Linked DNA regions of Lonchura striata. The protein of the gene in region 1 interacts with the protein of each later gene in a pairwise test. Links are inferred from orthologs where the notes say so. Each region holds a gene or a part of one and is shown on either strand. Other genes may lie near its edges.

Evidence for each region. The genes of interacting proteins can lie anywhere in the genome.
Region 2: the proteins of MYBPC3 (region 1) and ACTC1 interact in a two-hybrid assay, tested with the Homo sapiens proteins (2 studies listed by IntAct). The link is inferred for Lonchura striata from reciprocal best matches to the Homo sapiens genes MYBPC3 and ACTC1.

The regions. Positions count from the first base shown.
Region 1 is NC_134608.1:39,281,700-39,288,681, reverse strand, and holds the start of MYBPC3 (myosin-binding protein C, cardiac-type), read left to right. Parts: upstream 1-3,979; 5' UTR 3,980-4,112; coding exon 4,113-4,137; intron 4,138-6,982. UniProt on the Homo sapiens protein: Thick filament-associated protein located in the crossbridge region of vertebrate striated muscle a bands. In vitro it binds MHC, F-actin and native thin filaments, and modifies the activity of actin-activated myosin ATPase.
Region 2 is NC_134608.1:29,402,753-29,410,283, forward strand, and holds the start of ACTC1 (actin, alpha cardiac muscle 1), read right to left. Parts: upstream 3,006-7,531; 5' UTR 2,908-3,005; intron 2,373-2,907; 5' UTR 2,353-2,372; coding exon 2,224-2,352; intron 1,468-2,223; coding exon 1,143-1,467; intron 496-1,142; coding exon 334-495; intron 222-333; coding exon 30-221; intron 1-29. UniProt on the Homo sapiens protein: Actins are highly conserved proteins that are involved in various types of cell motility and are ubiquitously expressed in all eukaryotic cells.

The sequences.
Region 1 (6,982 bases):
GTGGTAGGAAGGAATGCAGTTTCTGTGCCTTAAGGGTTCCCTCTGAGCTTCTGTTTTAACTCCCCAGCAGCAGAGCAGCAGTGCTTTAGGTAAAAGAAGCCCTTTGACCACTGGTATCTTTGTGCAGAATGCTTCGATTCCTCTGCCTTATGCAAAGTGAAGAATGTTTGGGTGCTGAGCTGGGCATTTGCGTATACAAATCAGTTTGGGTTCTTTTAGATTTACCTAGGTTTCTGAGTTTTGGGTGTCTGCTTTCAGAAACATAATTTTAGATTTCTTCTCTAGATATTCCCTATTCCATTTTTTCCCCACTCACCCACACTGTGCTTTCCTTTCTCTGCCAGCCTGAGCTATCAATTCCCAGCTCTTTGTTCAGCTTTTCTCCATGCCTAGATTCAGCCAGTAGATGCCTCCATATTTAGTAGATTCCAATTGCTTTATTCTCAATGTCCTTTTTCAACTTTGGCCCAGGTAGTTCATTGCTTCCTCTAGGGCCAACTTTTCTCACATATGCATCTAGTCATCTTCTCTTTATGTGAATGGTTCTCAGTTCCAAATTATTTGTTCAGCCATTTATAGCTTTTCCATCCCACATCCTCTTATGGTTTCAGTCTTATCACCAGTTCTCTTCCCTCCGCCCCATTTCTATCCCAGCTCCCCATCTAATACTCCTGTCCTTTGAGAATCTATTTCAAATCCCTCCCATATTACCTAGAAAAACCAATTTTCTCCCCCAATCCATCTTTCAATCCCACATTTTTACTTCCTCCTCCCTCTCAAATTGGTGTGATCCCTTCTCTCTCTGAAGTTCCAACTATTTGCCCCCCAACCTTTATTTTGATGTGCCTGAGGGAGATAACATTTGGAGCACAGGACACAAAGGCTGCTTGCTTTTGGTTCAAGTGTCTGAATTAAGTTGAAGTCCCACATTAGCCCTGACATAAAGGCATAGAAAACTCTGATGACCCCTGGACTGGACCCCACTGACCAAAAAAATAACTTCTTCAGAGGATGGAATGTAGAAAGTTCTCACTGAGCATATGCAGACTGCATTTTTTCCCCCATAGTCTAGAACATGCAGCGACTCAAGCTCTCTATCATGAAGCCAGTTAAAAGAATATCCCTGAAATGAAAGCAAGTTGCTGTCAAATATACTGAAAGAAGTAAAATATGGAGTACAAAGAGTAGGGATACAAAATGGCTGTGCAGAGGAAAGCTCAAATAAGCAGGACCAGCATTACCCAAATCTCCTAAGTCCCTGTAAACTCAAGTTCTGTCAATAAGGTCAAGTGGCTTTGCTCTGTACACACCCGCACTCTGTGATTCAAAAACTCAAAGGAAACAGTGAGGATTAGGTTGGATATTGGGAACAGATTCTTCACCCAGAGGGTGGGTGGGCACTAGAACAGAGCTCCTAGGAAAGTCACAGCAGGAGCCTGCCAAAGTTCAAGGAGCATCTGGACAACGCCCTCAGGCACCTGGTGTGAATAATGGGGCTGTCCTGAGCAAAGTCAGGAGCTGGATTTGATGATCCTTGTGGATCCCCTCCAGCTCAGGATATTCTGTGATTCTGTGAGCACTTCAGTGGATGAGTCCTGCGGGGTCTGTGCTTTGCACTGAGCCACCTCAGCTGTCCCACCAGTGCTGTCCCACCGCCGGCAGCAGGAATCTGCAGCCACTGAGGCAATTTTACTGCCTTGTCCTCAGAAACTGCCGAGCCGCCGAGGAGGTGGTAAATTCGTGACACAAAGAGGCAGAGAAACAAATAAACAGAAATAGAGACAAGAAATTAAATGGCATGACAGAAACTACCAGGAAAAGAAGCCCAAAATAGAAAAGTAATATATAGAGTTTCTGCCTGGATACCTACATTTGGGCAGAGTCACAAGCACCTAAATACATAGCCTTTTAATAAGAAGTTAGGTAGTCTTTTCCTTGGTTTTCTCTGTAGTTATCCAAAATTGCACAGCCTGTCACTGCAGGCCACCAATTTCTGTCATTTTTGAACTTGATTTTGAATTATGTGGTGAAAGACACTGTATGAAGCACAGAGCAATAACTTCAGTAATTCTTCCGACAAGGAAGAATTTTCCCTCTCACTCACTTTTTAAGCACAGGCCCTGAGACATCTATTACATGTTGCTTCACTGTTCTTGTACATTAGTTTCATCTGAATACAGGATGAAACTTCACACACTTGCTAAACAATTATCTAGTGTTGCAGTGCACTAGAAAGTAGTTATCACAATCCACTACACATCTGTTTTGGGTCAGTGTAAACATTGAAATTATATGTTTTATTTGCATATCAGTTTTGTTATTAAAAGTAGTAATATCATATTATATCACGTAATATTACATAATGTAATATAATATAGAAAATTCTAGAAAAAAGTTTACTATTGCAACAATGCTGCCACCTGGTAACCTAATGTGTAATAGCAGACAAAACATCAATTTTTCCCGGTCTTGAACATAGCAGTATAATTGAAATATTACTTTAAATCACATTAAAAATAACAAAATCTGCAAAGAGTTATTATTGGATTAGGATCATTTCCCTGCATCAGATTAAATCCTCATAGCTGGGTTTCATTGTGAGGAAGAAGTGAGACACAAGCCCTTTGAAAGGTTTCAAGTGAAAGCAAATAGCCCAGATTTCCTGACTCCCAGTGAAATACCTCAGGCACAAGACAGTCGCCAAATATATATCATGGTAACTTGTGCTCCACTAGAAACATAGGCAATGGAAAATAAACACAGGTGACATCCTGCCCATCTTCCTCACTCATCCATAAAAAATTGCTTCAGGGAAAGGGGAGGAAGCATTTGGCCTCAAATCAGAAGAGATATCAGAAGTGTTTCTTGCACGTTCACATTTGTCCTACCAGCCTACTGAGGGAGTCAGATGTGAAAGACAGACACAGAGCACAGTGACTGATGAGCTGCTTGCACACTGGTCTATTCTGAACTTCATGCCAAAAGAGGAAATACTTTTAAAATTTGTTTTCTACAAGATAGTAAAGCTGGAGGAAAAATGAAAACCACACCTTTTTTTTTTTTAATTATTTTTTCAATACTAGTGGTGGCTAAAATATGCTCTATGTTCAGCCTCCAGAGTTTTTCTAGCAAAGCTTAAAACTCAAAATTGATAAAACATCATGATAATAAAAGAATGATTGTCCACAGTTACTATTTTGCCATATGCTAAATATATGAATAAGTAAAAAGCAAAGATTGGAGCATGAAATGGCCATACAAGAATAATTTTCTAGTGAGATTTTCCCCCAGATCTTTTTTATATGATTAAGCAAAACTGAAACTTCTAGTGGTATAAAATAGAACCTTGGAATGATTTAAAAAATTATATTTAAAAGAAGAAAAAAAAAACAAACTTGCTAGTTATCAAGAAACGTATGCTGTGGATCAAGTGGGTGGATAGGAAGGGAGGACTAAAACTATATAAGTAGTGTCATGCTTTCTGCTTGTGACTGCAAATGTCAGTATTGTGTAAGTGTCTCTGCAAAAGAAAGTTCTTTCCTTAAAGTTCACAGTTAGTTCTACAAATACAGTCTTTGGCTGAAGAGCTAAAAAAAGAAACAACAAAACCAGTATGTGAGGGGCTGTTCAGCTCTGACCCAATTATGATAAAAACAAAAACTGAAATAAGTAATAAGAACGTAAGCAAATGCACACTTAGACTAAGCAGGTACCAGCACACAGGAGATGTAGCCATCAGATCTAGTTTGCTGCATGTGCTATAAACGTGGCAATACATGCCTGGAGCTAGAAAATGCACCGCACACGCGTGCAGCATCACACTGTGCTCTGGTTTATAGCAGCAGACCCGTGGTAGCCACTCCTGGGTGGCCTGAGCTCCCTGGCTCCTGGAACTTGGCTATATTTAGCCCGGCTGATGTCGCCTGTCAAGTGTGTCCTGCTGCTGATAAGGTGCCTAGTCGACAACGGGGGGGATCGAGGGGAGGAGCAGCATGGGGGCTTCCATCCAGTGCTTCTTTAGGGGGTCTCAAAAGCCCTGCAGTCACATTCCCGTGTGATTCATACCCTGCTTCCTAGATGCAGCTGGGAGCTCCACCAGAAACAAAGTGAAGATGCCAGAGCCGGTAAAGAAAACAGGTAAGGATCGTAACTGGCAGACAAAACTAAGAACAGCTTGACAGGAAAAGTGTGAGTAGATTATGTATTCTAGAGAAATGAGATGTCTCAATGGAAAAAAATAAATAGATAGGAAAAGGAAATTTTATTTTATTAAGTTATAAATGTAAGAGATATTGAGTGATCTTGAAAAGAAATCACTAACTGCTTTGATAACCTCAGCCACAGAATTTTCTCAAGAGACTTTGGATGAGGAAGAAATAGAGGTGAAATGCATTTAATTCTCAAATGCTTTTAATTTCTCCTTTCCTTTCTGGTCACCTTTAGGACTCAGAAAAAAAAATAAGTAAAGGCTTGTATTGACTCTCTTGGACAGTAAATAGTACAAACCTCTCCTGCTTTTATTTCGGGTTTGGGTTTTTTTCCCCTGACAATTTGTAGAAGAAATATTGCCAAAAAAATTGATGGTGCTTATTGTGAATGAAATCTCTGTGAAAATGAAAGCAAACAGTTCCTGGTCAGAGTTTATTCTTTCTGTTTATTTCAATGACTGAGAATAGAACTCTAGGGAAAAAAGGCTTTTGATTTATACTGTGAAGAATACATGCAATTTCTTTTCTCTTGCCCTTCTTCATTCTTTCTCCTTGAGCCAGAAGATAACTCGCCCTTTTCAGGAAACCAAGGTCACAGGGCCACATAGAAAAATGCCAGAAAAGTATTTCAGATTTATGAATGTTTTAATTAAAAATCTTCAAATAAGGAATCACTCAGATGCTGCCCACATAGAGGAGGCCTAGAACAGGGTACAAGGTGCAATGGATCTGCTGTTTTGATGAGGAAGAGAGCCTGGGAAGAAAAGGAAGAGGCACTTAACTTCAGGACACCTGCAGAGGAAGACATCTCAGGAGCACTTTGCATCCACAAGTTTGGAAAAAAAAGCTGACAAAATCTGAATTTATGATTGTTTGTCAATTGTAAACATATTCAATAGTCAGGCCTGGAGAAACTTGTACTAAATCTGGGATTCTCCACTTTAGAGCTGTCACTTCATTGATGCCAGTGCACACCCAGAATCGCCACTACCTGAATGTGCAATAGAAGGTGCACATGTTTTTAATCATGTGCAGTTTCCAGAGTTAGCCAGTGACAGCTGTGGAGTTTTTTTAATAATGGCCTTTGTGCTTTGCAAAGGCCTGAGCAGGCATTGGTCTCCTCTCAGTTTGGCCAGTGAGACAATCTCCTATGGTCACAATAACAAAAGAACTTGCTAAGAACCTTCATTTGACCAAAACATTTGAAATCAGCCACTGCCAGAGGCAGACCTATTACACACCCAGAGTCTCCCCCATTACAACCTGCAAAGCACCAAAGCATGGTTAACTCCAACAAGATTCTTTGTGTTCCTTCTGTATGATAACCCTAAAACAACAGTGATGTCAGCAACCCTTCCATTGTATTACAAATATAACATCATTTCATGTTCATGAGGTTACCATTTCTAATTAAAGTAGATTTGTATATAAAAAAGAAATATATATTAGATCCTGTAATTGTACACATAAACGTGAAAATATAAGCTGCAAAGGTTCAGTAATCACTCCAAAAATGAGAAAATCATACTCATATTCTGCTTTTAAATCATACAACTTTTAGGTTTTATTGAAAATGTCTCATTGTTGTGAATGCAGACAAAAATAAATACAATAGAGTAGGCAAAATTTGACAGTGATACCTTGGCATTATGACTTCTGATTTCTAATTGTTTAACTGCCTTTTAATAAATATTTTCATTCTCTGTGGGTGAGAGGCAGTGTCTCTGTTTGTGAAGATGCCCACTTTTGCTGGCTAATGGTGAAGGGAAATTCTATTCCAACTTATTTCTCCAGAGAAATCTAACAGGTGTCTAACATCACTAGTCCCACGCAGTTCTTATGAGCAAGCTAGACCAAACACTGGGATTATCACAGCAGGGGGAGGAAAAGCTCTTGTTACTCACTCTGACCGAGACAGAACCAGTCACATGCCCCACAACTTTTAGAGAGGATCTTCTCAGTCTCCCAGGAGACACTAATCCCTTTGGTTTTCTATTTCATGTTGTTTATACAGTTCAAACCATTTCAAGATGGGATAATGCTGAGCATCATCTCAGGAGGGCCAAATAACCACTGGGCAATTCATACTTGGATAAATCACAATTCCTGCCTTTCACACATCATATAGTTGGATTACTGAAGAGCCCAAAGAAATCCCTAGTCTGTATTACTGAAATTTGTGCATCTGGTGTATAGGCAAAAGAAATTTCTTCATGTCAAAGAATGACCATAAATATTCTGCTTATATCTGCCGTTTTTACAAGGCTTTTAACACATAAAAGGAAACAAACAACAACAACAACAAAAATAAAACCAAAACAACACCACCCAAAAACTAAATAAACAAAACCGCCCAAAAATTCCCACCAGAAAACCAAAAATCATTGAATAAACCATTAAACTTAAAATGGCATGGTGAAGTAGATATTCTTTCACTTTCAACTGCCCAACTAAAATACTTCAGGGTAAAGCACTCCATGACTTATTTCAAGAATGCCAAAAGTATTGTCTTTGCATTTTAGAAATTCTACACCATCCACAAGAGCAACAGAATGCATAAGACCTGTAAGAGTTTAGTGTCAGAGCAAACAATCAAATTTTGAAAATCACCACTTTTTGCAGGATTCTGTTGCAGAAACTTTATGTTCTTCTCTTTGATTTAAACTCTTCATAGTTTATCTTTGGAAATTTTGATCATTTTTTTGTTCTGAAAATTCAGAAATGTTAAACAAACCCCAACCATTTCCCTAACAATATTTTTGACATTAGGAGGA
Region 2 (7,531 bases), about 9.9 Mb from region 1:
AGAAAGGAGAATTTCCTGGGAACACTTACCAATAAAGGATGGCTGGAATAAGGTTTCAGGACAGCGGAAACGTTCATTACCAATTGTGATCACTTGACCATCAGGCAATTCATAGCTCTTTTCCAGAGAGGAGGAAGAGGCAGCAGTGGCCATTTCATTCTCAAAGTCCAGTGCAACATAGCATAATTTCTCTTTGATGTCACGAACAATCTCACGTTCCGCTGTAGATATAGGAGAATCAAATCAAGCTTTGGATCAGCACAATGCTAGACAATATGATCAGCCAAGAGAGACATGAGGACTTTCTCAGTAGAGAAGAGCTGAAGGACTGACCTGTTGTCACAAAGGAGTATCCACGCTCCGTGAGGATCTTCATGAGGTAGTCAGTCAGATCCCTGCCGGCCAGATCCAGACGCATGATAGCATGAGGCAAAGCATACCCTTCATAAATGGGTACATTGTGGGTGACACCATCTCCAGAATCAAGAACAATACCTGGAAAAGAAATGTCAGAGAGCAGCTGGAATCACCTAGAGAATGCTTAGAGCCCTTACACACAGGAAGCAGCAAGAAACACAACAAAATAAAGGACTTTTCAGGCAGTATAAAGTGGCATAATTCTTTTTCAGTCACAAAGATCATTCCAATTCTTTCTGCCTTTGCTTGTCTGGACATTCCTGTGGGGTATGAATTTTCACACAGAATAGTTGTTCCATACATATTTTAAGATAATCCATAAGACCAGTCTTCCATTGCTACTATACTGAGCAGTAGTAATATTATAGTGACTGTCTTGATCTGATAATGGGCATCTTTTGGACCAGTTTAAACCCTTAAACTGGTGTAACACTTCTGTAACTGCAGTATCCCTACAGGAATGTCTCCTCGTTTGCACCATAACAAGCAGTAGCACAGTCAGTTCCATGGTGCCTCTCCAAAAGCAATGCAAACTGTCTATGGAAAGAACAATGTGACCTGTTTTGTATTCACTTTTATGCTATTTTAATCATTAATTGCTATAAACCATAAATACCTATTTTTCTGCAAATTGAATGAGCTATGGTGTGTTTTCCTATTTGGAATGGAAAGGAAGGAGAGTTCCTGAATGGAAATAGAATCTAGTGTTTATTTGTTTATTTTACCTGTTGTACGACCAGAAGCATACAGAGACAGGACAGCCTGGATTGCCACATACATAGCAGGTACGTTGAAGGTCTCAAACATTATCTGAGTCATCTTTTCACGATTAGCTTTAGGGTTCAAGGGGGCTTCTGTGAGCAAAGTAGGGTGCTCCTCAGGGGCCACACGGAGTTCATTGTAGAAAGTGTGGTGCCAGATCTTTTCCATATCATCCCAGTTGGTGATGATGCCATGTTCAATTGGGTATTTCAAAGTAAGGATACCTCTTTTGCTCTGAGCTTCATCACCCACATAGGAATCTTTTTGACCCATACCAACCATAACACCCTAAGAGAAGAAAACACAGAAAAGCATTATTTGAGGAAGACAACACAGCCCAAACAACTACATCACATACAACTGTCCTGAAGTTGAGTCAAGTTGAGTTTAGGCTGGATATTAGAAAAAGGTTCTTCACCCAGAAGATGATTGGGCACTGGAACAGGGTCCCCATGAAAGTAGCCACAGCACTAACCCTGACAGTGTTCAAGAAGAATTTGGACAACTGTCTCAGGCACCCAGTGTGACACCCAGGGCTGTCCCATGCAGGGCCAGGAATTGGACTTTGATGATCCTTGTTGGTCCCTTCCAAGCCAGGATATTCTATGATTCTACAATTCCAGCTATCTTATTTTCAAGAAAGGAACAAACAGTCACACCCCTGAAAGGCCATTCAGGAAAATAAATTTAACATGATTAAAATATTAAGTTAATGGAATTGGAAGGGTTCTCATAAAATCTTTTTTTCCTTCCATGAGATGAATGGATGTTCCCCCATTTATAATACACCTCTTATATACATAGTTTTTTTTCTTATTTGTTTCTTTCTGATTTCCAAAAATTTGACTGAAACTGCACAATATCATGAACAAAGGAGTTTGTAAACAGGACAATACAGAGGAAAATTAGCATTCTACTGATCAAAAATACTTCATATTACTATGCAACCTTAGCAGCAATTTATCCAGAATAAAAAAAATACAAATTGTAAATGTTTTAATTTAAGAAAACACTTTTTATGGAGTGTCCTGCCAGTGAATTTACCTGGTGCCTCGGGCGACCGACGATGGACGGGAAAACAGCCCTGGGGGCATCGTCCCCGGCAAAGCCCGCCTTGACCAGCCCCGAGCCATTGTCGCACACCAGTGCGGTGGTTTCCTCGTCGTCACACATCTTGGGAAGGAATCACGAACCTGGAAAACAGCACGGTGGCACGTTCAGAGCCCCGCGGGCAGCCCCTCCGCGCCCTCCCGCCCGCCATCCCGGCGGGCACGGCCGGATCACTGCGGCGGGAGCGGGAAATTTGAGTTATCCCGGGAGGATGCTCGACGGCTCGTGGCCAGGGCTCTAAACCGGATCCGTCAGCCGCTTTCTTCTCCGCGCTTTAAAGCAGCCCCAGCTTGCAAGACGCTCAATTGGAGCGTCATTAGCGGACCCCTGTAGCCGCAGCTCGAAAAGGGAGGGAAAGCTGTTTAAATCGCAGAGATCGGTGCTGTCCAGCGCGCTCGGCGGGCGGTGTCCCGGCAGCAGCAGCTCCCGACCGGGAGCTGCACGCCCGAGCTCCGGCCGCGCCTGCACGACCGGCGTCCGCCGCCCGGCGGTGCCTCCTGTCCATCCCTCCCGTGTATTCCATCCCTCCCGTGTATTCCATCCCGTCCCGACCCTCCCATCCCACCCAAAGCCTCCCCGCCCGTCCCTCGGGGCTGCGGGTGCCGCCGCGCTACTCACCAGACCAGCACCGGCGGCGGGGGGCAGCGGAGGAGACCCTGGGTGCTGGCTCGGCGGAGACGCCCCAATTTATACCCCCCGAGGGGCAGCGTCGTCCGGGGCCGCGGCGGGCCGGGGCAGCCACCTTCTCCTTATTTGGTCGGCTCCGCGCCACTGAGCGGCCGCGCAGCCATGAATGGAGCCGGGCCGGCCCCGGCGCGGCGCGGCCGCCGGCCCATGTAAGGCAGGCGCGGGGCAGCGCGGCCCCGGCCGCCGCATGGCCAAATAGGGAGCCCAGCGTAGCCCCCGGGGGTCAGCGCCGCCGGGCCGGGCCGGGCCGGGCCGGGGCCGCCGCAGCCCGGCTCGGCCCCCGGGCTCGGCGCCCGCCGGTGCCCGGCCAGGTGCGGCGCCTCAAACTCGTGATGCTCGGGCTTGGCGGAGGGTGCGAGGGAAGCCGCACGGGTGTTCTCTCCCCCGGCTTTTCATTTTTCCACCGAAAAGAAAAGCCCAGTCGAGCTTCTATTTAATCAACGAGTGATTAGGTTACTTCGGTGCCAACAACTGAGGCTCCTCTCCTGCGTGGGGGCGGCATCTGCTCTTCTGTGTTGCCTTAGGAAGGAGCAGTGCACACTCAATTTCTTTTAAACTTTGATGAGGACATGCTGCAAAAATCACTCTTTTCTCTGCTTTTGGCTGAAAATGGGATGTACTCACTTATGCATATACTTAGACTCCTCATCTTTGCTCTTTTAACGCGCACCAGATCTGTAAGAGATAGTGATATGTCTAGGGCAGAGGACGAGATATGGAAATAGATTGGACAAAACCCAGCTATGGTATTAATGTAATGTGACAGTTGTTTTCCTGCTCAGTTGTTGAAACATCCACATTGATAATTTGCTCCAGCGGTGGAACCTAGAAAATCCATGTGTCTTCAGGACTTTTTTTTTTGTTTGTTAAAAATAGAAAGACTGGAGAGGCATCCCTTGAGTGGGTTTGGCCTGGTATGTGAAAGCAGAGATTGTCAACTCATGTCCCAGAGAAACTTACTATAATGTGGAGTCCAGTGTCCTCCAGGAGCTCATCTTGTAAAATGCCCCATGTCTGCCTGTGAAACAATGCTAGGATGCAGCAGGGAGAATTGAAGTTTGGGACAGGAGGGAATGATGAGATTCAAAATCAAGAGAGGAACGCTCAAGTGGATCATTTGCTTAAACACAGGTCCAGCTTATGAGATGCCATACAAAGGCTGGCAGACATGAGATGGGTGTATACGTCTTAAATTATGTGGAAGGAAGGAGCTTGTGAATGCTACACAAGCTGCAGTCTGGGGGCTTTGAGAAATGTTGGGGGAAGAGCAATCTTTGCACGGTGGTTTAACTCAGACAAAGCATGTGACAACTGGAAATCCCTATTTGTTTCTAAACTGTATCCAAAGGGGGCGTCAGAGACCCTCAGACTTTAATTTCTTCTAAAATCAGAGATTGTGGAATCAGTTTCCTTTTTTCTAGCACAATTAATGAGGTGGTTAGCTCCACCCCAACCCCAGTTTATCTTGGGTTTGTGCCAGATTATGAGCACAGCTCTGAAAGAGATGGTAGCCACAAACATCTTGGATAAGCTCCTGCTTTTAAGTGCTGCAAGGAAAGAGAACCTGTTCCAGGTGAGACACCATTTTTGTAGAGAGTTGTGTATGTATATTTAATACATCAGTATATATAAATATATATGCCCATATATATATTATATGCATGTATTTATATGTGTGTATATGTATTTATTTATATATTGATTTTTTTTCTTAACTACCTAAGAAAGGCTGTGTAGGACTTTGAAATGCAGTGACCTCAAAAGGTCAAAGCAGCAAAACACTGATTCAGTGCCTTTGCTCTGGACAAGCTTTGGCTCTTTGTTTGCTTTGCCTTGATGGAAAATCAACCAAAAGCAATACTGGTGGGATAAAGACCCCAAGCAAGTATATGTTCATCTAAATTGATCAGGCACACAAAACAGACACTTGGAAATACTTTGTTGATAGTGATGCCTGCTTATACAAGAATTCATACAGATGCAAGGATTTGTAAGCATATATACCCTGGCACAGAGCACCCTTTCAAGGAAAAAAATACCAAAGACTGCTCTTAATCTTAAAAAGTCAGCATATTTTACCCCATGGTAAGTTGCCATATATAGTTTAAATGTGCTTATTTTTTGCCTTGCACATCTTTTCTACAGAAACCATTTAATGTGAGGGATTGACCAGCTTCGCCAGCAGTACAGATTAGTTTACAGTGTTATCTCAGCTGTTGCTCGGTTCAGAGGTGTTGCAGTATTTACATAGAAGTCCACTGCTGATAGCTGCATTGAATTCCTCCCCAATCAGACCCTCTCTGACACATCCTACATTCCCTCTGGCTAGGGAGAGACAGGCTCTCCTGAAGCTGAGACAGAGCCAGCTCTCACTGAAAAATCTATGAAACAGTTTGGATTTTCTTGTTTACTGTCTAATTATTTTTGCTTTCTCTTCTATCTCAAGTTTTACAATTCTAATCCAGCAGGATTCACAGTTAGGATCCTGGTGAGCCTGAGAACTCATCAATCCACACGCCAGCACACTCCCATACATTGCAAGGTCAAATGAAAAGGGCACCACACAACATACGCAATTCCAAAACATCATTTCCTTCCTTGTAGCCACTTGAAAATTGCCCAGCTAAGTTATTCAATAGGCCAAAATAATTCTGCTTTCTTCAATACAGTGTTATCACAGTCTCAAGTAAACCAGAGAAGCAAAAACCTACTGAGATATGTTATGCAATGTCATTTAGAAGAGTAACACTCTAGCTCTGACCAGGGCCCCCACATGCTGTGTACATTTCTCATGACTTAGCTGGTGGGAGTGACCCCAGAGACCAGGGAAACAGGCAGTACAGGGTGTTGGAGAGCAGACAGATCTGCAGTGGACGTGATCTGCATGTCCCTAGAACAGCCTGAGCACACCAGAGCATGAAGCCTTCATGTGTATGATTATTAATAGGGGAGAAAAATTAAATACATGTATGTCTGTATATATAGAGAGACATGTACATATATATAGGGGACACATGCATATAGGAAAAACTGGATGTGTTGTTCAACCAACAAGACACTGTTGTGGCTGCAGCCAGAATCAGAACAGGAGTCCTTACCTCTGCATGGTAAAAATGTGAACAAACTGCCTAGAAATCCTCACAACTGCTATTCAGCTTTTGAATAAAAAAAAATAAATTACAAAAGCTTAACAATATAGCCATGAGTCTTTAAAAGCTTTAAAGGATAGAACACTTAAAACCTTCCGATTATTTACAGTATTTAGCAATGTGATCAGAAATTGCAAATGTGTAGGATCAGGTCCTCTCTGTAGTTTTTAGTTCAACCTTTCAGTTTATGATTTTTTTTCTGTATATGTCCCAATAAAATTAATAATTTTTTCATAATATACCAAGCAATTCTACATACAGTATATCCTGACCTATCAGATTCTACAGCAACTTCTCACTTAAAATCTGCTATTTCTAAATCCAATGGATGTTGACATATAAAATCTGTCCTAGCACAGAGCCAAATGTTACCTCTCTTAAGCCTCAGGCCAGTGTAGTCTTTGAAAGAAACTTAACATTTTCAAGAATAAGAAAATGCCATTCTGACAGGTTTTCTTTTGTCTCTTTTGTCTCACTGTTTGAAGCTATATGGTCTTTAGAAATATAAGCAGCATTGCAGCAGTCTTGTTGATAGGCAGAAGTCCTGATGAGACTAGAATGCCAAACATGTAATATATGGTGAAAATCACTGTCATGAAAGAGTCACTGTCACGAAGGAGCCATGTGTTGTTATCAATGTCTGTGCAATTATTAATCTTTCTGTGTATGCAGACATACCAAGAGAAGCCAGAGAAGATAGTTCTGCAGTCATCACAAGTCTGAAATTATTCCCCACGAAATATTGAAGTCTTGAACCTTCCAAGTGAGAAATCATTCTCCTAGAAGAGTCTCCCAATTTAATAGTTACATTGTCTGGTAAACTTTTCCAGAGACTTCACTGGGTGTTCCCCTTTCTTAGTAATGTCTCATCCACCCTAGTACTAGCCCATGTTTCATGCTTTATATATTCCTTGTCTCCTCAGCATTTAAACCCTTCACATAATTACAGGCTCTTATCATCTCTGTGTCTCTCTCACTCACTTATGTGCTGCTGCACTTCTATAATTAACCTAAAACATCTTAAGTGTGTTCTGAAAGGGTAAAATCGTGGGGTAGGCACTGGGAGTCAGAGATGCAGCTAAAGCATCTTGGTATGAAGCTGAGAAGTTTAGGCACGGGCAGTGTAAGTGGAGGTGAGTGGCAGTCAGAGGAATTTGTTCTTCTGAGTCTCTCACTCTCCAAAGTATTATTTGCCACACATCAGTTCCAAATAAAGGATGAGATTCTTGCATCCATTCTGCACCTCTCCTATGAGGAACAGCTGCGAGAATTGGGAGTGCTCAGCCTAGAAAAAGGAAAGCTTTGGGGTGACACAATTGTACCAGTACCTGGAAGTAGCCTATAAGAAAAATGGAGAGGGACTCCTTACAAGGGCCTGGAGTGACAGGGCAGTGGAGTATGCCTTC